Linked DNA regions of Callithrix jacchus. The protein of the gene in region 1 interacts with the protein of each later gene in a pairwise test. Links are inferred from orthologs where the notes say so. Each region holds a gene or a part of one and is shown in the gene's direction. Other genes may lie near its edges. The genes, in order: VIM, YAE1, PPL, NOD2, KAT7, CRMP1 and KIAA0408.

Region 1 (3,125 bases):
CTTTTTTAGGGCTTACCAAGTAAAAATGAATGTTTTCATTAAGTTGGATCTTTTTATCACCCACTCTTCATTCATTTTTTCCCAAAGATGATAGAAAAGTCTCAACAGTTTAATACTCTAAGAGTATAAACTGAACTCCAAATATAATTACTGACAAGATAAGCAATCCTCATGCATCCTTTAGAGAGAAAATAAAATCTTAGTTGCAAAAGTACATATTCTGATTTGGAATGTTGCCCTTTACAAATGGAAACATAGAAGGACAGCTGAATCAGCAAAAATTCATGTAGTTTCATTATCTGCAAGCTTGGTCAGTGATTCAGAAACAGGCTAACTGAACTGATACAGTAGCAAGTGAAAAAGACATGCCTTTATGAGAGGAGCCAAAGGAGTTTTAGAAGAAAACTCCATCAGAGAAAGCAAAGCAAATACATTAAGAATTACGTGTCTTTTCCATTTTTTCCTGAACTGAATCTTAGGCAATGCCCATATTCCTGAATTGGGCTATTATTGAATATAAATCTAGCCTTGTACAATGGATGCCAGATGGCTACATATTTGCTCTGGAGCCTAAGGATGAGATTCAGAAGATTCTAGTGGAGAAAAAAACTTAAACTCTTAAAGCATGAGTTTCTGTTCTTTATGTGCTCAAGTGTACATGAAGTTGTGAAATTTTGTCCATGTCTATTATCATGTTATTCCATGAAATTACAAAACCAATCTTAAAAATGTTATGACAGAGATTTTCTAGATTTCAAAAGTAATTAAATTAAATTAATTTTTTTGAGACAGACTGTTTCTCTGTCACCCAGGCTTGAGTGCAATGGCACGATCTCGGCTCACTGCAACCTTCGCCTCCTAGGTTGAAGAAATTATCCTGCCTCAACCTCCTAAATAGCTGAGACTACAGGCGTGTGCCAGCACACCCAGCTAATTTTTGTATTTTTAGTAGAGATGGGGTTTCACCATGCTGGCCAGGCTGGTCTCGAACTCCTGACCTCAGGTGATCCCCTGCCTCTGGCTCCCAAAGTGCTGGGATTAACAAGCATGAGCCACCATGCCCAGCCTTCAGTAAAACTTTATTTACAAAAACAGACAGCCACGGGCTGCAGTTTGCTGACCCCTGATCTATACAGGTTGGATTTTGTTGATTACAGGCATGAGCCACTACTCTGAGTCTTAAAAAGTAATTTTAAAATGTCACTGGTAAAATGTGGATTCAGTCATGATTGCGTACAGTTTACCACATTTGTAGACATTTATTTATTTTAAAATTGTCTGATCACCACCTTGAGTAAAACACAAGGGGTCATGATTAAAATTTATTAGTGAGCAGGAGAAAGCGTAGCATATGATAGCACTAAATGATTTCTAAACTTACTCAAGGGTGGTAAAATTTGTCAACACCTTTTCTATAGTAAGGAGACTAGGTTTAGATGGTTAATCTAAGATGAATAAGTGAGAGAAGCCATAGACTTTTACATCCTCCATGTCCTGTCTTTTCTCTGTTCAAAATAGGATGTTGACAATGCGTCTCTGGCACGTCTTGACCTTGAACGCAAAGTGGAATCCTTGCAAGAAGAGATTGCCTTTTTGAAGAAAATACACGAAGAGGTTAGTAGAGTGTCTTTCGGGAAATGAATGAAGGTAAGGCAACCCCCACAGTTGGCACAGCTGACCTTCTATCTGCTTTTTTTTTTTTTTTTTGCAGGAAATCCAGGAGCTGCAGGCTCAGATTCAGGAACAGCATGTCCAGATCGATGTGGACGTTTCCAAGCCGGACCTCACGGCTGCCCTGCGTGACGTACGTCAGCAGTATGAAAGTGTGGCTGCCAAGAACCTGCAGGAGGCAGAAGAATGGTACAAGTCTAAGGTAGGAAACAAGTCCCTGTGGCCTGCACAGAAGAAAAGCATTGAGTTCTCAAAACACCATTCCTGTGTGTAATTCCTATCCTGTAGCTCCAGTTAAAAGCTGGCTTTGACTTGTTGCTCACATTTATTTATTTATTTTTGAGATGGAGTCTTGCTCTACTGCCCAGGCTGGAGTGCAGTAGCATCATCTTGGCTCACTGCAACCTCCACCTCCCGGGTTCAAGCAATTCTCCTGCCTCAGCCTCCCAAGTAGCTTGGACCATAGGCGAGCACCACCATGCCCGACTAATTTTTGTATTTTTAGTAGAGATGGGGTTTCACCATGTTGGCCAGGCTGGTCTTGAACTCCTGACTTCAGGTGATCTGCCTTGCCTCAGCCTCCCAAAATGCTGGGATTACAGGCATAAGCCACCACTCCTGGCCATATCACCTCCTTCAGAATAGCAGATTCCCTTCCTCTTAACCGTGCCTCCAAGTAAACCCCAATGCCATACTTTGACCTCCACTGTGTTTAAATGAGTACAGTAGAGTGAACTCTGAAGATAGTAATGTCAGTGTTCCACTGCTCTTTCTCTGGCTTTCAAAACAGAAATTTAAGCCTATACTGGAAGACATTCAGTGGGAAATATGATCTTTTTTTTCTAAGAGAGTCAAGACTTGAATGGGAGCAATGTACATTTCTGTTTTCTCCCCGACAGTTTGCTGACCTCTCCGAGGCTGCCAACCGAAACAATGATGCCCTACGCCAGGCAAAGCAGGAGTCCAATGAGTACCGGAGACAGGTGCAGTCCCTCACCTGTGAAGTGGATGCTCTTAAAGGAACCGTGAGTACCAACCCTGCAGTAAAAGAGGGGAAATAATGACCCATTCTGCTGACTATGCTAATGGCGAAGCCTGAACAAAATGTTGAGTGAATAAAAATTTATACGGTAATGCAAAGAAAATGACTTATCACGACAAACTCAAAAAGGACTTGATGGCGCTCTTGAAGGTTTTAGCTTGTGTATATCATTGCTTCTCATATGAAGGACTTGGTACTTGCATTCTCCGCCTACGACTAGAGTAGTTGTCATTTGCCACTAATGGAAATTATTGCAAGAAGACTAAATGGTTCTGGGAATAGCTGGGTTTTTCTGAGCAATAACACCAGAAACCTTTCTCACCTCCTGCAGAACGAGTCCCTGGAACGCCAGATGCGTGAAATGGAAGAGAACTTTGCCGTCGAAGCTGCTAACTACCAAGACACTATTGGC
Region 2 (4,217 bases), on another chromosome or scaffold:
CATTTTGTTCCTAATTAAGATATATACATATCTTAATATATTTACATTAATAAAATATACATATTTATAGTTTATATCCTTTTTATTTGTGGAATGACAAATTCTCTCTGGAGATTTAATATTGTAACGTGAACCAAAAACCCACTCCCATACACTCATGGTTCTTACTTTACTTATTTTTAAATTTTTTTCATAGCACTTATTTTTTTTTTTTTTTTTTTGAGACAGAGTTTTCGCTCTTGTTACCCAGGCTGGAGTGCAATGGCGCTATCTCGGCTCACCGCAACCTCCGCCTCCTGGGTTCAGGCAATTCTCCTGCCTCAGCCTCCCGAGTAGCTGAGATTACAGGCACGCGCCACCATGCCCAGCTAATTTTTTGTATTTTTAGTAGAGACGGGGTTTCATCATATTGACCAGGATGGTCTCGATCTGTTGACCTCGTGATCCACCCGCCTCGGCCTCCCAAAGTGCTGGGGTTACAGGCTTGAGCCATAGCATTTATTTATGATCTAACAAACCTTATGTTACTTACATATTGCTTATTGTTTAACCTGTCAATTTTACATAACTATAAAGTCAAAAATGGTTAGGAACTTCTGTCTGTTCACTGATGTATCCGAAAGCCTAGAATGGTGCTTGACACAAGGTAGGTGTTCAAGAAATTGTTAGATAACTAAATCATTATCACATGACTCATTTCACTTAGGCAATGGGCAAAACAGGAATACTACAGGAGTTTATTCATTTACCAAGATCGAGATCAGCATCTACTATGTGTCAGAACCGTGCTGGTGTTGACACAAGTCCCCACCCTTACCAAATCAACAGTCTACCTTGGGGCGTATGAATAGAAATGGGAGGCAGAAGGATACTGTGCATCAGTGAAAAAAACGCCTTGGCTTTACAAACGTACTCTCTCTTTCTTACTGATCTCAAATTGGCTGCAGTATCTGACTTTTCGATTCTATTATCCTTTGCTCCACAAGCCTAACAGTTAAAAATGTCGGTTTGTCAAACCCTTTAAATGCAGAGGAGATTCCAACAGAGATAACGACTTTGGGCGATAACCGCCCATCGACTTTACTGCTTTTAACAATTTACCAATGTGCGCGTGTGTAAAATCCAGACCATGGTAGAGACTACGGTGGAAATGGAAGGTGTTTCACTGAGGGTCCTGGCTGCCTTCTGCAAAGGTGAAGGTCGTGCCGGCCACGCGAGGAAGTCCGCCTCGCTCACAACCGACAGGTGCACATCAATGACTTCGCTCAAAATCACCGCAAGCGAAGGTTGGGGCTGCGTCCACCCGCCACAGCCCGCCCCCGCGCACGCGCAGCCCCCTCCCGAGCTCCGATTTGCTGTCTTCGCCCCGCCTTCGGACCGGAAGGAGTTGTCGGCGCTTCCGGTGACCTGTAACACCGTAATTGCCTCGGTGATGTCGTGGGTTCAAGCGGCATCCTCGGTCCGTGGCCCTGGAGACGAAGGGGACGTGTTTGACGAGGAAGCAGATGAATCGCTCCTGGTGCAGCGGGAATGGCAGAGTCACATGCAGAGACGAGTCAAAGTAAACGTGGGTGGACGGCGCGGGGTGCTGGGTTGTGGAAAGAGGCGCGGAGTTGTCAAGAAGCTGGGTCCAGAAGGGCACCAGCGTGGCCCGGCGCTCCGCTCTTTATCCGTAGGAACGCGGTCCAACCCGCGTCTTGCTAGGATTTCTCAATGGTTACTTGAAAGTGTACGAAACAACAGGACGCGTTCTTTGAGCGCCTACGGGGTGCTTAGAAGCTGAGGACCGACTAAATTTTACTGTATCTGGACTTTAAACAGTGCAATTTGTTGAGGATCACAGGGAAAGGAGTTGGGGGGAAACATACACTGACTCTACTAATTATGGCTGTCAAAGGATGTGTAGGCAGTTTATATTAATTGCTTGAATGGATCGGGAGCCTGAAGTTAAGGAGTGGTATTAATCGAGACATACTGAAAAGATGAACTTAAGAGTGCTGTCAGAGGGCAATAAGGGAAAGCTAATGTGGAATACTGGTGTCTAGATAAGGGAATATTAAAGTTGATTTCTTCTTTATTTGTTAGATGTAACTTTTTCATCTCTAGTTTGTCTCACTATTCATTGAAACTAAGCTTAATTTCTGTGAGCAGACTTCAGAACCGAGTTCTGAATGAGGACCAAATGGTGAGGTCCACATCCACTTAATATATTTGCCAACCATTAAATTGCCGCTAACGCTGCAGTTGGGTATCTGCGCTGGTTTAATATTTCAGTAAAGTATTATTTGCTTAGCTCAAAAACCAAGTGGTCAGTTACAAAAATGCTTTATGTGAGGTTGGGGCTACCCTAGTAAGTATTGAGCATCTTCTGAGCGCTGTGGCCACCATAAGGGATGCAGAATGAAATCACTACCCACAGAGCTTTTGCAGGTTAGTTGAATTTAGGGATTAAGCAAAATTACTGAAACCAGACTTATCTTCCTTTTTTTTTAAACGATTTTCTCTCTCTGCTTTCCCATGTCTCCTCACCCACCCACACCATTCCAATCAGTTGGCAAGAGCCCAGATATGTATTTTTCCATATATTCATTTTGTGAAGACATTGCTAACACTGAGTTTTTGGTTTTTTTTTTTTTTTTTTTTAGTCTTTTGAAGCCGTTAGAAGAGTTTATTTTGTGCTTAGGATATTTTTCTAAGGCATTACAAGTTACACATCCAAACTCTTCAGTGGTATATTTTATATTCTAAAGGAGAGGGCTTTAGAGAAAACTTGTACATTTTACTACTGTAAGTCTAATGGATTCATATAGCAACAGAGCCTAAAAAGAAGGGGACATTGTCCACTACATAACGGTCAGTTGATTCATTGTATTTATGATTTTTCTCCTTCTTGTAAAGTCAAAACTATATGTATTCTAGCTTTTTAATGAGTAAAAGTACACTAAGTGTTCCCTCCTGTTGATTTCTACCTATGAAATACCACACAATATTAGCAGTCAGGAAAGAACAGGAGAACATGAAGTTTGTCTCTTAAAAATTATGAAAATGTTAATGATTTTAAAACATCAAGCATTACAAACTGTAAAATCAATTAAGAACTTTCTGTATATGAGGACAAAGATATATTTAAAATATATACAAGAAGATGCTTTTTCCTGAGTAGAATGCAAACTTTGTTTTATATTAAGCTTCTGAGAATTTTCAAAATGTAAAATACCAAGGATTTTCCACATGAGACAAAAGTCAGGAATGTTCACCTTCACATCCAAAAAGAAAAATTTTTTTAATTATTTCAAACTTATATTTCAAACTTATATACCTGGTGTTTTTATGTTCTGAATGTAGACTCTGATTTAATGACAATCTAGACTGAACCCTGCAATATACAAGCAAGTCACAGCAAGAAGTTCAGCAAGAATGATATAAAATCTTAAATGAATGGCCAAGATTTTAAATTATCAACAGAAAGTTCAATTGATGGATCTAAAAAGAAATGCTGTTTACTAAAACATTAAAAAAAAATTCAGGAAATTATCATCCAATTTGAAAAATAAAAAAAATGTAACCCATAGTAAATAAAAAATACAAGAGAAAGTCAGCCTTTATTGGAATCAAGACAATACCATGGACTTAAAAACTTCCTAAGTCACTAGCATATCCTGTATTAGCATGTGTCGTAAACTGTAATAAATTAATATAAGGTAGTTTTTATTAGTTGCAACCTAAAAATACGAGGAAATTTTGGAATATATTTCTGAAAAGAACACAGAATTGTCACTGACATACATATTTCTTAAGACAATGATCAGAGTTCCCATTATGGGAAATATCTTCCTTTTTTCACACAGTGAAGCTAAGAAAAATTATATCAAATAAGAAATATTTTTCTCTAAAATAATCTTTAACACCCCAATAATGCAATACTTGGGAAATGTAAATTTTCAAATCTGACTTGAAACAGGTTATTATTAAATAAATATACATACATCTTACTGCTTGGCACAATAGTTCAAAAATTAGAGAACTATTTAAACCATCATCAACAGTGCTTAAATCATATTTCAAACTTATATAACTAGCGCTTTTATGTTCTGAATGTAGTCTCTGATTTAATGACAATCTAGACTGAACCCTGCAATATACAAGCAAGTCACAGTTCACTTCAAACTAAAAGAAATGACCAATCTTCTGTTTTTATCAAAATCATAATACTAAGA
Region 3 (3,500 bases), on another chromosome or scaffold:
TCTGATGGCATGTGCAGACATGTCCCGAGCTTGTTGGCCCCTGTCCATCCTCCTTGGGGACCGGGGCCAGAGTCTGACCCTCAGGAACATGGGGCCCAGGGATGAGTGTGTGGGGTTTTAATTTTTGCAAAACCTATAATATATATGCAGATAAATAAAACAAAATTTGCGTTTTTTTTTTTAAGAGAATCTTGCCCTGTCACCCAGGCTAGAGTGCCATGGTGCCATCTCGGCTCACTGCAACCTCTGCCTCCTGAGATCAAGTGACTCTCCTGCCTCAGCCTTCTGAGCAGCTGGGATTACACGTGTCCACTACCACGCCCGGCTAATTTATATTTATATATATATATATATATATATATATATATATATTTTTTTTTTTTTTTTTTTGAGACAGAGTTTCGCCCTTGTTACCCAGGCTGGAGTGCAATAACGCGATCTCGGCTCACCACAACCTCCGCCTTCTGGGTTCAGGCAATTCTCCTGCCTCAGCCTCCTGAGTAGCTGTGATGACAGGCACGCGCCACCATGCCCAGCTAATTTCCTGCATCTTTAGTAGAGATGGGGTTTCACCATGTTGACCAGGATGGTCTCGATATCTTGACCTCATGATCCACCCGCCTCGGCCTCCCAAAGTGCTGTGATTACAGGCTTGAGCCACCGTGCCCGGCCTAATTTTTATATTTTTAGTAGAGATGGGGTTTCACCATGTTGGTCAGATTGGTCTCAAACACCTGACCTCAGGTGATCCTCCCCTCTCAGCCTCCCAAAGTGCTGGGATTACAGGCAGGAGCCACTGTGCCCGGCCAATTTGCCATTTTTAAGTGTACAATTCAGTGGCATTCATTGTTTCACAATGCAACCATTACCACTAGCTATCCAACTCTTTCCACCACCCCAAACAGAAACCCTGGCCGGGCGTGGTGGCTCACGCCTGTAATCCCAGCACTTTGGGAGGTCGAGGCAGATGGATCACCAGAGGTCAGGAGTTCAAGACCAGCCTAGCCAATATGATGAAATGCCATCTCTACTAAAAATATAAAAGTTAGCCAGGCATGGTGGCGCATACCTGAAATCCCATCTACTTGGGAGGCTGAGGCAGGATAATCGCTTAAACCTGGGAGGCAGAGGTTGCAGTGAACCAAAATCCTGCCACTGCACTGCAGCCTGGGTGACAGAGAGAGACTCCAGCTCAAAAAAAAAAAACCTGTACCCATTAGGCAGTAAGTCTCCATTCCTGCTCCCCAGCCCTGGTCACCTCTGTTCTGCTTGCTGTCTCTGTGGACCTGCCTATTCCAGATGTTTCACATCTGGAGTGAATGTGGAGGATAAGCAGAATCATGCAGTCTCCGCTCTTTTGTGTCACTGAGCATCATGTTTGCTGGGCTTATCCGTGTCGTAGCATTTTGAGTGCTTCGCTCCTTTTCATGGCTGAATCATATCCCATTGTACGGACAGACCAGTGTGTATCCACTCATCTGTGGCTGGATGCTTGTCTGTTTACAGAGGAATGAGAGTTCTTAACAAGCTGCGGGTGACTCTTAGGACTGAGGTGTCTGGGGGGAAGCTGGATGTGGGCAACCCCATGTCCTTCCTCGTTCACTGTCTTGAGCGGCACAGTGGGGGCTTCAGGTGCTGTTCATGGCTGCAGCCCAAGTGCTCAGCCTGTGGGGAGGGGGGATTGCTGACACACACCCCTCTGTACCCCCTTGGAGGTTCATGCAGGAGAGGGGCAAATTGCTGGGCCAGGGGTTAGCAGACAGTGACCCAAGAGTTCATAGACTGAAGAATGGGCAAGAGAATTTTTGAGAACATAAAGGGGAGGTTATTATCAAAACCTAGAAAGAAGGTATAAAGTCTGGGTGTTCCTAGTGCAGAGAGAGGAATGGAATCAAAGACACCCCAAAACTTACTTGTATATGAAAGGAAGCATATCACAGAGGTGTCATCTCGTGGATGGGTGGGAAAGGACCCGGCTTCTCCCCAAGGAGCTGGCTCGGGGAGGGTGGGGCTGTCTCCATGAAGGGAGCCTCAGGTTCAGCACAGCGTCCCATCTGAGGGATGAGCTTGAAGCCTCAGACAGAAGCCCAGGTGCTTCTAGTGGTTTCCTGGCTGTGACAGGGCCACATTCTCCCCTAGTTCCACAAAGACATGAAGGACGCTCAGGAGCTGCTGCGCAAGGTGGACTCGGACCTAAACCAGAAATACGGCCCCGACTTCAAGGACCGGTACCAGATTGAGCTGCTACTGCGGGAGCTGGATGTGAGCAATGGCCCAGGACCCCTGCTGGCTTGGGGCAGGGGAGCGGGGACCCCTCTATACCACTCCCGTCCTCAACCCTGGACAGGCCCCTCCACAGCCCCCGCCTATTGATCCCAGCCCCCACACAGCACCCTCCCACCAGGGGAAAGGCTGTTGGTCTCACCCGGGTCCCCTACCCCACTTTCTCCAGGACCAGGAGAAGGTGCTGGACAAGTATGAGGACGTGGTGCGGGGTCTGCAGAAGCGAGGCCAACAGGTGGTGCCCCTCAAGTACCGCCGGGAGACGCCACTCAAGCCCATCCCCGTGGAGGCACTCTGTGACTTTGAGGGGGAACAGGTGCGTGGGGCCAGCTTCTCTGTTCACGTCACTACAAAGTCTTTGGGGTAACATGGCTGGATGCGGGGCCTCAGGCAACGTTCTTGGGAACCTTTGCCTGTTTCCATGGTTGGTGTCATTCTGCCCACCCTTCCCCTCATGCAGGTACACTGACACCCCTATGTGACCCCCACCCCAGCTGGCCTGGCCTGTGTTCCACCTGCTTAGCAACCCCAGCCACTCCCCAGAAGTCCCAGGGCAGGTTCTCATTGGCCCACTGTGAGTCATGTGTCTGCCCTACACCAATCACTGTGGCCGGAGAATTCGTGTCCACCCTATACCAATGACTGTGGCTGGGGAATGCCAGTCTCATTGGCCAGATCCAAGTCAGTGTCCATCTGGAGCTTGGGAATGGAGAAGGAATGAGACCACAGGGACTGGGAATCAGGAGGGAAGGTTCTCCAAAGGGAAATGGAAGTGGGTTGCTGGACTGGCAGCCTCAACACCTGTGTCTCTCCTGCGTGCCCCTCCCAACTCGATGGGCAGAGTCCAGGCAAAGAGCCAGGGCTCCTCAGGTTCAAGAGTCGGGTGCAGGAGTGAGATGGCTACCGGGCTCCCAGGCCATCTCACTCCTCAGCCCCTGCCGGGATCCTCACTGTCTGGCCTGCCCCCGCTAGGGCTTGATATCGCGGGGCTACAGCTACACCCTGCAGAAGAACAACGGGGAGAGCTGGGAGCTCACAGACAGCACTGGGAACAGGCTGATCGCTCCTGCCGTCTGCTTTGTGATCCCCCCCACAGACCCCGAGGCCCTGGCTCTGGCTGACAGGTACAAGGGCAAAGGCGGGAGCCTGCACGGACCAGCCCTACTCCTGAGGCTTCTCAGGCCCCATTCACAGCCCTGGGCATTCGGACTCAGCCT
Region 4 (3,500 bases), on another chromosome or scaffold:
GAAGGGGCAGCGGGAGGGAGACTAATTACCTGGGGGGAAGGTAAGGAGAGGGCTGCCTGAGATTCTGCAACATGGAAGAATACAGCTGGCCCCTAACTCCCTTCCCCGATCCTTGCTTCTGGCCAGCGTCTTCCACTGGCTGGACCCATTAGGGAGGCCAAGCGGGCTGCTTGCTGGAGTAGTCCTCAGACATCAGCCTCCCATGAGCCAGAGACGGGTGGAGAAGCGAGAGAGTGGATGTGGCCAGGCAAGTGGAAGACAGCCAGCACCAAACTCTATTTCCCTAGGAGGGAGGATCATGACACTTGAGTGGGAATTTGGAAACCTATCTGTTGGAGCAATTTTCCTGATAGAAATAAGATTGTGCATTTTCCTGGGTAGTAGACTCATAGTTTTTACCCCAAGACACCAGGCACTCCTGGCCTGTGTGATCCTCATAGGCCAGTGCATCCCTGGAATTCTGGAATGGATCTTCCATTCTTGGTTAGGGATGTCCCTTCCCAGGATGTGCAGAAGGGCTCTGGGAAACCTGTGGGTCTGTCTCTATTTTCAGAGAAAGGTGAGGATGGCCTGGTTCTAGCTCATGGTGCTCAGACTGTGGTGTGTAAAGGCACTTGTGGAAATGCAGATTCCTGGGCCTGCCCCTAGTGATTCCCATTCAGTAGATTTGGGGTGGGGCCCAGGGCATCTATATTTTTAACAAACAACCCAGGTGATTCTGATATAAGTGGTCTCACCCTGGGAGAACTACTGGTCAGCAGCAACCAGCTTGGTTTTCCATTAGCAATTACTGTCCTTGAGCAAGTTCTGCTCTTCACCCTACACACACTAAAATTGCCAAGGCCGTAGGGTAGGGGAAGCAACCATGAGGTTGCTGTGAGTGCAGTGTGTGTGTGTGTGTGTGTGTGTGTGTGTGTGTGTGAGAGAGAGAGAGAGAGAGAGAGAGGAAGGGAGGAAGGGAGGAAGGAGGAGGGCTCTCCCACAGTGCCAACCTGTTTCTCTCCCACTTGAAGTGTTTCCATGCCAACCGAGATCCTCAGCCTCTAGGAAACCCCATATACACAGTGCCCCTGCATAGGTTTCTTTACACTCTGGCTCTTCCTGACTCCAGAGTGTTGGGTTTCAAAGTTTTTGGCTGTGACCCACAATGATTGAGAGAGAGACAGACAGACAGAGAGTGAACGAGCACACCCACCACCGTGTAAACGTGAAACCAAAGCTTCATGAAATGGCTTTGCTCTGTGAACTCTGATGCACTGTGCTCTCTTCTGTTCTGTTCAATCTGTATTTTAGAAATGCTGCTCAGGACCTCAAAATGGTTTGCATGTCCCACAGCCTGCAGTCTAAAAAATCACTGCTCTAGAGAAGTGGCCGTAAGAGGCCCTAAGGGAGAAGCTGCACCATGTCAGGGTTAGGAGTGGGGTTTGGAGCCAAGCTGCCTGGGCTCAAAGCCTTTATGTGTATCCTTGGCAAAGTCACTTCACTTGTCTGTGCCTCAGTTCCTTTCTCACGAATGCACAAAATAATGGTACCTGCTTCACTGGCTTGTCGTGAGGATGAAATAGTGTTATTATCGGGCAGTGCTAAGGATAGGGACCAGGGCTAGCGATCACGATTCTAGGTGGTTTTTACCATGCACCAGGTGCTCACAAGGCTTTATATACACAGCCTGGTGAGGCTGATAATACTGTTATCATAGATGAGGACACCAACAGATAACTAGTAAGTGGCTGATCAGATTCACAATATCCAGCTGAGGCGCTCCAGAGCCTGAGCTGTTAATATTCAGTCAGGGCCTCCCAGGTTTGCCTGAAGATAAAGAATCATGTGCACAGTTGTTAAAATATACAGATCCCTGGGCCCCACCCGACACATACTGGATCACCAGCTCCAGGATACAGGCCTGAGAATCTGTATTTTAGGGAAGCTTTCAGATGAACTTGTGATCAGGTGAGTTTTGGGAATGGTGCCCCAAGAGGAGTGGCAGGCCAGGCTTGCTGGGCAGGGACTGGCGGGTGGGAGTGTTATCACTGGGGTTAAGGACTGGGCACTAGCCACAGCCTGCCTGCCTGTTTCCAAAATTTGTGGCCGGTCTCATCCAGCTGGTCTACTGTCTGCTGGCCTAGGTGATGGTAAATTTCTCCAGGGGTAGCCTGTCTAGTTCAGGCTGTACCTTTCCCATATATCAGCTCCTTTCCACCATCGTCCCCTTTGTGAGGCTGTGATTATCATGTTCCTTTTGCAGAGATGGAAACATTGCTTCAAATTAGCTCTGTGATTTCCTTAGGATTCCGGGTGCTTTAGTGGCAGATCTGGGCCCTACGTCCTGGACCGTCTCTGTCATAGAGCACCACACCACGTCACCTCCCCCGCCAGGGACCTTGGGGTCTCCACTTTTCTGGGGTGCTCCATCTTTGCAGGGTTTCCTGGAAGCACAGATGCTGGCACTTCAGGGATGAATGAAAGTCTTTTTTGTAGATTTGTAGATTTTTTTCTTGTCTTTCCAGCTCCGTTTTCAAATGTATTTATCTTGTCTCTTTTAGTTTGCGTGATAACAATATCTCAGACCGAGGCGTCTGCAAGCTCATTGAACATGCTCTTCACTGCGAGCCATTGCAGAAGTTAGCGTAAGTCAGCCTGGGCTGTGGACATTGGGCCCTCAGTCCCCTGGTCTCACCCCCGGTCATGCAGCCTGGGTAGCTGTGAGTGATGGGCTGGGGCAGGGGCTGTTTGCATGATGGGGGGGTGCAGTTGATTCCTGCCCAGAGGGGAAGGGCAACCCTGGGATTGGGTGCTCCCTGTGCAGTGTGCTTTGCTTCTGTGTCTCCTCTCTTCTGGAAACTGAACAGTCTGTTCAATAACAAATTGACCGACGGCTGTGCACACTCCATGGCGAAGCTCCTTGCGTGCAAGCAGAACTTCTTGGCATTGAGGTGAGCCCAAGTTTTCCTTATTCCCTGGAAACTATTTTTTGCCCAACAGCTGAGTCAGTCTGGTCTGGTCTTGGCCTGGTGCTGCCCACACTGGCTGCTGACCTTCTGATTGAATGTAGGGGCAGTGTGTCATTTTGAGCAGGGGTTCTGTGTACTGCCATCATCTCCCCTGTAAACTCTGGACTAGCCCTGCTGAGGGCTTCCTGTCTTTTGACCTTTAACCCATAGGGCAAAAATGTTTTTCTAGTCCTCTTTCCTTTTCTGTGTCTAAGAGTGTCACAGCTCTCTGGGGTGACTGAGTTTCACGATGTATGTTGAGCTTGTCTCACTGGTGGAGGCATACGCAGTTACTTGCCACCCCAGCTGTGGCAGCCAGTGGCTGCAATACTCCCAGAAGGTCCTTTCACCATTCAGAGCATGCAAGGTTTGCAGTCTCATCTGGGTCTGCATTTCTGCTGCTTCAGTGTCTCCCAGTTTCAACTGGAGTCTCTCTCTCCTACCTGGCACTGTTAAATTGCCTCTCTAGCTGGCCTCTGGGTTGGGCTGGCTCTCTCTCTCTCTCTTTCC
Region 5 (3,500 bases), on another chromosome or scaffold:
GATTGTGCCACTGCACTTCGGCCTGGGTGACAGAGGAGACCCTAATCTCAAAAAAGAGTTTTATATATCTATGCTTTTAAACAACTTTTTTTTTTTTTTTTTGAGACAGTCTTGCTCTGTCACCTAGGCTGGAGTGCAATGGTGCTATCTCCGCTCATTGCAGCCTCCACCTCCTAGGTGCAAGCAATTCTCCTGCCTCAGCCTCCCAAGTAGCTGGGATTACAGGCGTCTGCCACCATGCTTGGCTAATTGTACTTTTAGTAGAGATGGGTTGGCCAGTCTGGTCTCAAACTCCTGACATCAGGTGATCTGCCCGCCTCAGCCTTTCAAGTGTTAGGATTACAGGTGTGAGCCACAGTGCCTGGCCTTATACAACATTTAAAAATGCAAACTTTTAACTGCAGATGGCTGGCTGGCTGGTGGGCTGCATTAAAATAATTAGCACTTGAGGCTTTAGGAAAAGGGGGTACTTTGTGCCCCCTTGTGGCCAAGTGACCCTAGCTTTCTGCTGCTCAGCCAGGCTGCCTTGCCTTTTTTTTTTATTATTATTTTTTTTTATTTTAAGTCACAGGACTTTGTCTTAATTTCCTTATGCAACAAGGAACCTCCTCCTTGTTGAGGAGAGAAGGGGAGAAGGGCTGACAGGTAGTAGTGCGTGGTTTTTACCATCGTGAGTGGGTTTTCTAATCTGAACAAAGAAGACCATAATGATTAGGTGGTAATGAGAAGTTATGGGTAAAGGTGAGAGTAAAGTACTTAGCCACCCCAAGCTTCTGGAAATAAGCTGCTTAAGAATTTCCTGCCGGCTTGAGGCATTTGGTAATAAGCAAAGGTATTCTTATTTATTTGGCCTTTATGTAGTAGGTGATTTTAATCTCCTGGGCTAAAGCAGTGCCAGAATGTAAGCCAGAATACTTAGTTCCAGATTGCTATAAAAGTGTCATAAATATATTCAAATGACTTTGGAAGCCTTTGTTTTATGGAAAAAAAATCTCTGTTTTGCTGTATGTTCTCAGCGTGTCCGACTGTCCTATAGCTCATTAACCAGAGTTGACCTGTTACTCTTTCCTTTTTGAGAAGCAGTCTTGTTGGGAGGTGTTGGTTCCCTGATGTGAATTTCATTGTCTTGCAGGCCAAGTGTGTGTGGAAACACCCACCTGGTGATGAGATATATCGCAAAGGTTCCATCTCCGTGTTTGAAGTGGATGGCAAGAAAAACAAGGTAAAAAGTGGTGACTAGAAAGGAGTCGTAATGTATATTCAGAGGTTTCAGAAGAAATGTATTTTGTCTCTGTCACATCTCGGAGGACATGTTTCATTAACAATTATGGTATGTTTGAATTTTAGGCCTTTATCTGTCTAGGAATCAGTGGCCCACACATGAACTCTGTTTCTCTCTCTGCTTCCAGATCTACTGCCAAAACCTGTGCCTGTTGGCCAAACTTTTTCTGGACCATAAGACATTATATTATGATGTGGAACCCTTCCTGTTCTATGTTATGACAGAGGCGGACAACACTGGCTGTCACCTGATTGGATATTTTTCCAAGGTAAGCAGGATCTGGAGATGAATAAGCCAGTGGCCAGAGCAGGGTGATCGATGTTGGCAGTCGGGCAGCTAAAATCACTGACAGAAGAAGCTGTACTCTGGGCGTTGATGACACCCCATCCCTTAAATAAATTTTTTACGAAAGGCAAACACATGTATCAAAGATTGTTTAATGAAAATGAAGTTTTTATTAAAAGCTCTGGTTTATTCATTTCTAGAATTGTGGACTGGAGCTGCCTATTAGTGACTGGGCAGAGCCCTCCTTAGTATCCCGCAAGCCCACATCTTGTAGTCAAGCCAACTCTCCTGGCTTTGCCTGCCTCTGTGTTATTAGCTTAAAACCAGGGATATACTCCTTTAGCCTGATTGTTTAGCTGGACTCCTTTTAACACGGTCCCTTCAGTGATAACACCACTGTGCCTTTTAAAGACCCAAGGCCAGATTTTTTTTCCTTTCTTTCTTTCTTTTTTTTGAGACAGTCTCACTCTGTTGCCCAGGCTGGAGTGCAGCAGCGTGATCTCGACTCACTGCAACCTCCACCTCTGGGTTCAAGTGACCCTTCTGCCTCAGCCTCTTGAGTAGCTGGGATAACAGGTGCCCGCCACCACGCCTGGCTGATTTTTTGTGTGTTTTTAGTGGAGATGGTGTTTTACCATGTTGGCCAGGCTGGTCTCAAACTCCTGACCTCAAGTGATCCACCCTCCTCGATGTCCCAAAGTGCTGGGTTACAGGTGTGTACCACCGTGCCACGACCAAGGCCAGATATTGTTTATGGCCTTTAGTGTAACAACTTGATTGGAATATAATTCATACACCATAAATTCACGTACTGAAAGGCTACAATTTAGTGGTTTATAGTGTATTCACAGAGTTGTGCAGTCAACCCAGTTTGCATTATCCTAAAAAGAAATTCTTAGCAATCACTCCTGTTTTCACTCAGTCCCTCTCAGCCCTTCTCTATAAAGTTCCCTATTCTGGACATTTCTTATAAGTGGAATCATACATTTTGATTTGATTCAGTGTGATTGCTCTTTTTACCCTTTGCAGAATGGGGACCTACTGTATTTTTTTCCTTCCCTTTTCTTCCAGTAGGCAGCTCCTTTTCAAAAATTGCATTTAACCTTCTTGCCCTGCTCTGTGGCTGTTAGGAACTCAGAGTCAGCCCCCTTAAAATGAGACTAGAGGTCTCAGTTAGGGAAATCTGGATGATTAATGGCTTTAGCCATCATAAAAGGTGTGGATATAACAGCTATGCACCTGGCAGCCACTCCTTGGGACTGGTTAGCCAGGTGTTTTGCAAGCAACCTTATTTTATATCTGTGGAAGTGCTGAAATCTTTGGTTTCAAATCCTCATGACATGCTCATCTGTTTGCTCTTGATTTTAGGAAAAGAATTCATTCCTCAACTACAACGTATCCTGTATCCTTACCATGCCTCAGTACATGAGACAGGGCTATGGCAAGATGCTCATTGATTTCAGTAAGTGAAACTGCTAAGTCATAAGTTCTACACTTATGGCAGGGACCATGTGAATGTTGTTGTTTGTCTTTTTGTCCTGTGGTCTCTGCAATTCCTGGAATGTAGTGGAGGTACATGGATATTTAGTAAATGAATGAACAAGTAGGAAAAACCTGAACATTGTCATTCTGCCTGATACACCTTGAACATTGAAGGAATACTTAATTAGTAGGAGGTACAGAGGATGATAATGTAAGCTCTTTAGGATTATCCCAGTTTGCGACTTTTAAAGAGCACATGCATGCATGAGGCTTAAAAATCTGTTTCTTGATGCTAGGGATTTCACTTTTGTAGGGACTTGTCTAGAGGTAATATATATACCCGATGGACCCTTAGTGTAATGTACTCTGCCCTCATTAATTGTGGATTCTGTCTGTGAATTTGCTTACTCACTAAATTTTATTTTTAACCCCCAAATCAGTCCTAACATTT
Region 6 (4,254 bases), on another chromosome or scaffold:
AGCTCTGGCTTGCAGCTGGCAGAGCCTGGAGTTGAAAGGACAGCTTCCAGCATGGGACATTGCAAGAAGTACTGGTGCTCCCCTCTGCAGTCCCCATCCAGTCCTGACTTTGCTTGTCTGGACTCGCCTGAGGAAGGGTCGGCAGCTGGGATCCTGCCTCTCCAGAAAGTGCAGCTGGGACTGCAAAGTCTCCAGGGACTTCTAGGGTCCTCTGCCTGATAATCTTGAGAAATAAGGGAAAGTGTCCATAGGAGGCGGGTGGTGCCTGGCCTCAGAAGAGAGCCCCAGCAGAGCGACCCCCACATCAGAGGAATCCCAGAATGCCCAGGCTACAAGCTCCAGGAGCAACAAAAGCAGACTGTGCCCCTCGAATTGGGGGAGATCTGTCTGGTTGACTGCCAGCTGTGTGTGTGGTCATCTGTGTCTCTGGGCGTCTTTCTCTGGAGCGTTTTCATTTAAGCTTTTGACTCCCTTATCCCTGGTGCGGACTAGTGTGTGGGCATCCTGTTGTCAGTTTACGATGCACGTGTGGATTCACCTTGAGTTTGCCTTTGATATTGGTGTGTCGTGTGGTGTCACTGGAGTGCACGTGTATGTGTGTGTCACTGGTTCCCATGCAAAAATGTACTTCTCTTGCGTGTCTGTGGGAGTATGCCTCTAGCATGTCCCTCTTGGCTGCTGCACCACCCTTCCTGACCCTTACCACCCCTGGGCCCACCATGCGGGTGCTTTTCTCACCTCCTCCTCCTCTCTTTAGAAGGTCAGCTCCTGGAAGGCAGGCACTTGGTCTGTTTCGTCCATGGCTCTGTTCCCAGCTTCTACAACAGTGCCAGGCACTAGTGGGCGCTCAGTAAAATAATGCTGAGGGAATGTACGGTGTGTCCAGTGCATGTGCCTCTTCAGTCGTGCAGTTAATCTTGGTGTGATGCTGTGTGTGAGTGCAGTTGTAAGACAATGAGATTTTCTGGTGTGTGTGTAATGAACGCGGAATGTGCACAAGCATGTGTGCGTGTATGTGTGTACAACATTGAGTATGGTGTGCATGAACCAGCCCCTGTGTATCTCGGGAGAGCGTGTGTAATTGACTCGTGTGCGTGTCAGCATGTCTGTGTATCTCTCGTGTTTGGTGTAATTGGCGTGCCGGTATGAACCCGCGTGTGCCTCCGGAGCATGTGGGCGTGCGGGTGTACGCACACCGCTCCCGGCCCGCGCTCTCCTGGCGCCCTGCGCTCCGCCTGGGGGCGGGGAGTGGGGGTGCGGCGAGGGCACTGCGGTGCTGCGGCCCGCCCTCCGCGCTGCGGCTCCGGCGCGTCACCGTCCCTCCCCGCCCCAGTCGCGGTCCCCGCCTCCCGGTCCTTTGTAGCCGGCCGCGCCGTTAGCCCGCAGCCTCCCGGAGGCCCCGCCCCGGCCCCGCCCCGGCGTGCGCCCCGCCCCGCCTCTCTCCTCCCCGGGCCGCAGTCGCGCCGGGGCCGCCGCGGGCCCGCACCGAGGCGCGGAGCGCGGCGCACGGTGGTGGCCAGGGCCGCGGGCGGGCGGGCGGGAGCGCGGCGGGTGGCCGGCCTTGGAGGGGTATGGCGGACCGGCGGCGCGCGTGGAACACGGAGGACGACCTGCCCGTGTACCTGGCGCGGCCGGGCAGCGCGGCGCAGACCCCGCGCCAGAAGTACGGCGGCATGTTCGCCGCGGTGGAGGGCGCCTACGAGAACAAGACCATCGACTTCGACGCCTACAGCGTGGGCCGCCGCGGCTCGGCGCGCACGCCGCGCAGCGCTGGCCGGCCCGACGCTGTCGGACTGCCGGGGCCGGGCGGCAGCGAGGACACGGCCAGCGACGTGAGCGAGCCCTCGGGCTCCGCGGTCAGCTCGCCCGGAGAGCGCGACGAGCGGCCCCCGGCGCTGCGCATCCGCTGCCCAGCGCCCCGCGACCTGCCCCTCGGCCGGGACAATGGCCAGGTACCCTCGGGGAGCGCGCGGGCCGGACGAGGGGGGCGGGGCCGGGGAGGACCCCGGCGTGGGCCGCCCGAGGGCAGTGCCTGGGTCCCGGGTGTTGGGGCAGCAGCCGCCAGGCTGGGGAGAGCCAGGGGGCGGCCCCTCCCCCACCTCATCATGAGAGAGGTTCCCAGAGCTGGTGCGTCTCGGTCAGGGCTGGCCGGCGTGGTCCGTGAGACTCCGAAGGGATCTCCCGGGTCCAGTCGCGGCTCGTCTTCTGCAGAAAGGGAGAGCAAGGTTCTGAGAGGGGAAGTAAGTTGGCTAAAGCCACCTCATGGTCGCTTAAAACGCCAGGGAACCTCTGGGATGAATCTAAACCAGGCTCTTCATTCTGTTTTGTGAAAAGAACTGGAGCTCCGTTCCGTGTTGGTCCATTCATCCATCCACTCACTTGGTAGTAATTACAGAGCACCTACTGTGTGCTGGGCCCCGGGAGAGGTTCCGCGAGTCGCCTGCGGCCATACAGCCTCAAGCTGGAAGGAGCTTTATCCCGAGCGCTCCCCTCATGCTTGCTGGGGGGAAGGATTTGGTGAAGGATTTAGGTCGTCGGGCAGTTGGAGCCGTAAGCCCCTACCCGCAAGCGCCAACATATTCAAGGGGCACTCCTGAGCTCCACAGCACACACCAGTGTGCCTGCTTCACAGAGCAAGGTGGAGTTAGAGCTGGGATTTTGAATCGGGGTTTCTAGCCTTCCAGACTTGAACATGGGACCGGGAGGATCAGGGAGAGGGACCCTGTGGGTATTCTCCCTTGAGCTGGGGGTCACCAGGGAACTGGGGGAAGAAGGGCGGATGGATGGCATAACCTTTGGATAGACCGACGAGAGCCAGGGTCAGGTGCCGGAAAAACCGCAGTTGGAGTACCCGAGGGCTGGGAAGCTTTCGGCTTGGCCCAGAACTGGATGCCTGAGAACTGCTAGGTACCGGGCCCAGGGTAGGCTCTAGATCCCTGGCTCTGCAACCTGGCCCCACCCTCCAGAAGTTCCCAGGCTAGGGTGAGCGACGGATTCATTGTGAGAATTAAATCAGTTAATGCCGGTAGGTAATGAGCATTCAATAAATGTTTGTTGTTGACTTTTACTACGATCATCATTTTAATTAAATCTTTCCTTCTTAAATGCTGTGAGTGACCTAAAGTGAGCCTGAAGGGAAGCAGAGCTTATCGGGGCAAATATCTGAGAGGGCTTCCTGGAGGAATAGGAGCAGGGGGCTGGTAGACGCGGTGGTGGGCCTCCTCGGACCCCATCCCTTCGAAGTCGGGCTCACTGTAGCTCCGGAGCTCTCCGTGGTCCTGAAGCCGGCGCCTCCCCGAGAGAGAGGTCCAACAGCAAGGGTGGTGGAGTGGTCAGAAAGGGAGATGGTGCGAGAGTCCAGCCTCCTCTTCCCCACCCCTTCTTTATCTCCTCCTGTCCACTGCCTTCCCTGGTGGTCCGACCTCGCTTGGGATCCAATCCAAACTCCAGAGCCCTATGGGGAGGCTTCTGGGCCGCGGGCCGAGAAGCCGGACCAGCACCAGGGAACCCGGGTTTCCAGCCAAGGCGCTTTGCTCTCTTGAGCCTCAGCTTCTCCATCTATCAGATGGGGGTGGCCGTCTTCTCTCGACCTTCCTCAAGGCGTGGTGGAGTACCAGGGAGGCAAGGGCGCTTTGTGCACGGCCCGTAGCTGTCCTGAGGCGAGTTCTTTTGGAGCTGTGGTCAATGTCACAAACGGCAGCATCGCCCCCGGGGCACGGCCTGGGCCGACCCCGCAGCTGCGCCTTAACGCTTGGGGACGCTGGTCGCTTCACCTCTCCCGTTCCTCTCCTGCTCCTTCCTCTTCTCTCTGCGGCCCCCTCTGCCTTTCTCCATGGCTTCTCAGGGACCGGACAAAAGGCTGCGCCTCTGGCGCGCGCAGGGCTCCGAAAGCACTCGAGTTTTGCGACTATTGAGCTCAGGGGATCGCGATCTCCACGGAGGGAGGGTTTTACTTTCTGCGAGAGAACGGCGGTGGAGCTTGGGTTACAGCGGGCGAGGGTTCCGGGGCGGGCCTCACCGCTCCAATGCTTTGCAACGGGTGCCCCGGCCCTTCCCCCGCCCGCAAGGCTTCTCCCTGGGCTGCAGGAAGGTTTTCTGAGGCGCAGGCGCAACGATTGCAGCTGCCAGAGGCTGAGCGGCTGCGGCGCTTTGTACCCGCGAAATCTGCTTGGGAGCAGCGATCTGTTTGGCCAGTGGCAGGAGAATGCTCCTCCCCCTGATACGCACGTGGTCTTGTCCCTTGCTCTGGAGCTT
Region 7 (3,500 bases), on another chromosome or scaffold:
CTGGGCATGGTGGCGCGGGACTGTAGTCCCAGCTACTCGGGAGGTTGAGGCAGGAGAATTGCTTGAACCCAGGAGGCAGAGGTTGCGGTGAGCAAGATCGCGCCATTGCACTCCAGTCTGGGTAACAAGAGCAAACTCCGTCTCAAAAAAAAAAAAAAAAAACAGAAAGAAAAAAGAGAAACGTTTCTTCACATGTCGCAGAGAATCCATAAAATTTTTTAAACTAAAATTAAGAAATCAACACTTGGACAAATAACCTCATGCCATAAGCATAACTGAATTTGTTTAACATTTATCACAAAGTTCTCTGTATTAAATCAGATGTAAATCATTAAGCCATATACTGGAGAATTGTAAATTCCCAGGTATGCACATATATCTTCAGTGATTTTAAGTGATAACATCTAATGAGAGGATACAGGCTATTAAGATGCTCATAGTTCTCTGTTCAGCCACTATCCACAATCATTGCATTTGCTGTGACAAAACCAAGATGTTCATACTTGGATTATTTGAAACTTGGAATAATCCAGATAGAAACTCTGGATAGAATTTATAGACATCTGGAATTTTTTTTCACACTTTAGTCTCCTGCCTGTATCCTTTGATAGAATAATCAAATAACCATTGACAAGGGCTGAGTACCAAGTAACTTAGATTCCCTTGAACAAAATCGTTTTCCATCAATAACACTGTTATTTGTTTATTCATACCTCACCTAAGTCCCCAAGAAAATTTAAGATGGCATAAAATTAGGTATAATATAAAATATGCAAAAACAAAAATGGAAAGATGAGCTGAAGACAGTAGGAAGGATCATATGTGAAATGTACCAGTGAGTCTTTCTAGTAACTAACAAAAATTATTAGGTGCATGTATCTTCAAATTCAAATGATAAGGCAAATTTATTTCCCAGGAATAGCATGCTTTCCCCCTGGTTTTGCAACTAAAGCAATTTTGTTTTCACCCATGACTTCTCAAAAACAGGACAGTGTCACCAACACCATCCTTAAATTTAACATGTCACTTTTTAGGGTTGCTTCTTATAATATCCCTCAAGGTCTGCCCAAATCATAATGCCCACAGAAGTTCAGTACAAATAATTTGGCAGGGACCGAACGATCGATGCATGGCTTCAGTTTGATGCTATCCTGACTTCATATAATAAATACTAATAAATTTATAAGCATTAGAAAAATAAATGCACATATATTTTTCAGGCATCAATTTCTAGTGCTTCTCTCAACTGAGTTATCAGTATATATTAAGCAGCAATAAATCTGTTATATTACTTGAATAATACATGTGGTGTAGATGTTGATTGTGGCTGTTAAATATAGAGTCATTTGCTTTGATAGTCATCTGACAGTCTCTTGCAGTTTGACAAGATTTTACGTGACTCAGGACTAAAGAGAAAGCCACTTCTTTCCTCTATTCAGAAGTGAAGTGAATGAGTGTGTTTAGCAGGTTTAACTAAGATGTCATAAAGAAGTTATTTGGGGTCTGCTTTAATATGACTAATCGATGATCAAAGCCTTGCAGTTCTATTATATCATGTAGGGTATTATCATATTTGTTTTAATCTAGATGAGAAACTTTTTAAAAATGTGTATCACCTTGACAAATTTTTTAAATCTCAGTAATATTTAGCCCTCATCAATGTAATTGACCAATCAAAGGAAACATCCTTTGACGGACAAGTGACTATTTAGGGACCAGAATAAATTGACTTACTATATGAGATTGTCAAGTATTTATTTAGACAGTTAAATATTAGGGTACAAGTAGGACCAGACATTTTAAAACTATGACTTTACTGTTAAATTCTCACTACACCCTAAAAGCAATTAGGTAGTATGGCCAGTAATTGATTCAGACCACTCTAATTTTGTGACAGTGTTTCTGTATTTATATACAGATACAGATTTATTTTATTTTTGAACGAGTTGATTGCTAGTCAGAAAGACTCTGCATCCATGTATTGCCCTGCTAAAAGTAGCCTTTATGTTTCATCAAACTTGTTCCAGCAAATCCATATTTTAGAGGCACCGGGAATTATATTTGAATAAGGCAAAGAGACCTCAAAGCAGTTTGCTTAGTATCAAGAGTATTATTAACAAAGTGAATTAGGGGAAAAGAAATTTTAATTTTGTTTTCTTACAGCTTTGCCAGGAAGTAAAGCTTCGGAGGAAAATCAATATGAATGAACGTGCTAAGATCATTGATCTTTACCATGAGAAGACCATTCCAGACAAAATAGTAGAATCTTCCCCAAATTACCCTGATGTAGGACAATGTGAATTTACAAGGATGAATCTCAAAGATGGTCTGAGAAATGAAAATAAAACAGAACAGAGCTTAGTCAGTGGAGGAAATCAAATGTGTAAGGAACAAAAAGCAACAAAAAAATCAAAAGTAGGGTTTTTGGATCCTCTGGCTACAGACACCCAAAAAGAATGTGAGGCCTGGCCTGACCTGAGTACTTCTGAGGAAGAGAACAAGAGCTGTTCTGGCGCCCTCAATACAGTAAGTAAGACGTGATTGGCCTAGCACTGTTTCTAAAGAAATATTTACATTTCAAAGTGGTAACGAGCTGTTGCTTATATGTGTAAAGGCTCTTGAAGAACTTGTGAAGGTTAGTGAAGAACTGTGCAGCTTTCAAGAGGAAATTCAAAAGCGGTCTAACCATAGAAGGTAGGCAGATACATCTGATTATTTTAGATTGGTAAATCAAAAAGAATATTGTTTTTAATGAATCCAAACTGCTTCCTCCTTACATGTAAGAACTATTGAGTTATTAAAATGCATTATCTAGGGTGGGAGATAGAAACTTTAATTTTTTGTTTGTTTGTTTGTTTTTGAAATAGAATCTCGCTCTGTTTCCCAGGCTGGAGTGCATGTTTTTGAAATAGAATCTCGCTCTGTTTCCCAGGCTGGAGTGCAGTGGTGTGATCTCAGCTCGCTCTGAACCCACTGCCTTAGCAGTTCAAGCAATTCTTCTGCCTTAGCCTCCCAAGTAGCTGGGACTACAGGCACAAGCCGCTATGCCCAGCTATATATTTTTTTGTGTATTTTTAACAGAGACAGTATTTCACCACGTTGGCCAGCCTGGCCTCGAACTACTGACCTCAAATAATCTCCCTGCCTCAGCCTCCCAAAGTGCTGGGATTACAGGTGTGAGCCACAGCACAAGGCCAGAAACTATAATTGTATATTTCTCTGTTCACTAATTTTTGAAGCAAATCTTCCAATTATCTTTGTAATCTGACTGTTAGTAACTCTTTACTCTTTTTGGTGTTTAATTAAGGTAGACCCTCCATAAAAAAATTAGTAAGTGGGCCAGGCACAGTGGCTCACACCTGTAATCCCAGCATTTTGGGAGGCCGAGGCAGACAGATCACCTGAGGTCAGGAGTTCGAGATCAGCCTGACCAACATGGAGAAACACAATCTCTACTAAAAATAAAAAAATTTAGCCTGGTGTGATGGCACATGCTTGTA

Evidence for each region.
Region 2: the proteins of VIM (region 1) and YAE1 interact in a two-hybrid assay, tested with the Homo sapiens proteins (2 studies listed by BioGRID and IntAct). The link is inferred for Callithrix jacchus from reciprocal best matches to the Homo sapiens genes VIM and YAE1.
Region 3: the proteins of VIM (region 1) and PPL interact in binary tests that used the Homo sapiens proteins (3 or more experiments, as listed by UniProt). The link is inferred for Callithrix jacchus from reciprocal best matches to the Homo sapiens genes VIM and PPL.
Region 4: the proteins of VIM (region 1) and NOD2 interact in binary tests that used the Homo sapiens proteins (3 or more experiments, as listed by UniProt). The link is inferred for Callithrix jacchus from reciprocal best matches to the Homo sapiens genes VIM and NOD2.
Region 5: the proteins of VIM (region 1) and KAT7 interact in binary tests that used the Homo sapiens proteins (3 or more experiments, as listed by UniProt). The link is inferred for Callithrix jacchus from reciprocal best matches to the Homo sapiens genes VIM and KAT7.
Region 6: the proteins of VIM (region 1) and CRMP1 interact in binary tests that used the Homo sapiens proteins (3 or more experiments, as listed by UniProt). The link is inferred for Callithrix jacchus from reciprocal best matches to the Homo sapiens genes VIM and CRMP1.
Region 7: the proteins of VIM (region 1) and KIAA0408 interact in binary tests that used the Homo sapiens proteins (3 or more experiments, as listed by UniProt). The link is inferred for Callithrix jacchus from reciprocal best matches to the Homo sapiens genes VIM and KIAA0408.

Annotation. Positions count from the first base shown.
Region 1 is NC_133508.1:18,041,871-18,044,995, forward strand, and holds part of VIM (vimentin), read left to right. Parts: intron 1-1,518; coding exon 1,519-1,614; intron 1,615-1,711; coding exon 1,712-1,873; intron 1,874-2,570; coding exon 2,571-2,696; intron 2,697-3,044; coding exon 3,045-3,125. UniProt on the Homo sapiens protein: Vimentins are class-III intermediate filaments found in various non-epithelial cells, especially mesenchymal cells. Vimentin is attached to the nucleus, endoplasmic reticulum, and mitochondria, either laterally or terminally.
Region 2 is NC_133512.1:8,032,669-8,036,885, forward strand, and holds the start of YAE1 (protein YAE1 homolog), read left to right. Parts: upstream 1-1,417; 5' UTR 1,418-1,432; coding exon 1,433-1,567; exon of another isoform or gene 1,568-4,217. UniProt on the Homo sapiens protein: The complex LTO1:YAE1 functions as a target specific adapter that probably recruits apo-ABCE1 to the cytosolic iron-sulfur protein assembly (CIA) complex machinery. May be required for biogenesis of the large ribosomal subunit and initiation of translation.
Region 3 is NC_133513.1:7,012,278-7,015,777, reverse strand, and holds part of PPL (periplakin), read left to right. Parts: intron 1-2,139; coding exon 2,140-2,262; intron 2,263-2,452; coding exon 2,453-2,599; intron 2,600-3,255; coding exon 3,256-3,407; intron 3,408-3,500. UniProt on the Homo sapiens protein: Component of the cornified envelope of keratinocytes. May link the cornified envelope to desmosomes and intermediate filaments. May act as a localization signal in PKB/AKT-mediated signaling.
Region 4 is NC_133521.1:8,640,257-8,643,756, forward strand, and holds part of NOD2 (nucleotide-binding oligomerization domain-containing protein 2), read left to right. Parts: intron 1-2,543; coding exon 2,544-2,627; intron 2,628-2,849; coding exon 2,850-2,933; intron 2,934-3,500. UniProt on the Homo sapiens protein: Pattern recognition receptor (PRR) that detects bacterial peptidoglycan fragments and other danger signals and plays an important role in gastrointestinal immunity.
Region 5 is NC_133506.1:116,500,716-116,504,215, reverse strand, and holds part of KAT7 (histone acetyltransferase KAT7), read left to right. Parts: intron 1-1,132; coding exon 1,133-1,222; intron 1,223-1,409; coding exon 1,410-1,550; intron 1,551-2,935; coding exon 2,936-3,029; intron 3,030-3,500. UniProt on the Homo sapiens protein: Catalytic subunit of histone acetyltransferase HBO1 complexes, which specifically mediate acetylation of histone H3 at 'Lys-14' (H3K14ac), thereby regulating various processes, such as gene transcription, protein ubiquitination, immune regulation, stem cell pluripotent and self-renewal maintenance and embryonic development.
Region 6 is NC_133504.1:186,105,663-186,109,916, reverse strand, and holds the start of CRMP1 (dihydropyrimidinase-related protein 1), read left to right. Parts: upstream 1-1,454; 5' UTR 1,455-1,571; coding exon 1,572-1,952; intron 1,953-4,126; exon of another isoform or gene 4,127-4,204; coding exon of another isoform or gene 4,205-4,254.
Region 7 is NC_133505.1:134,018,610-134,022,109, reverse strand, and holds part of KIAA0408 (uncharacterized protein KIAA0408 homolog), read left to right. Parts: intron 1-2,163; coding exon 2,164-2,526; intron 2,527-2,614; coding exon 2,615-2,694; intron 2,695-3,500.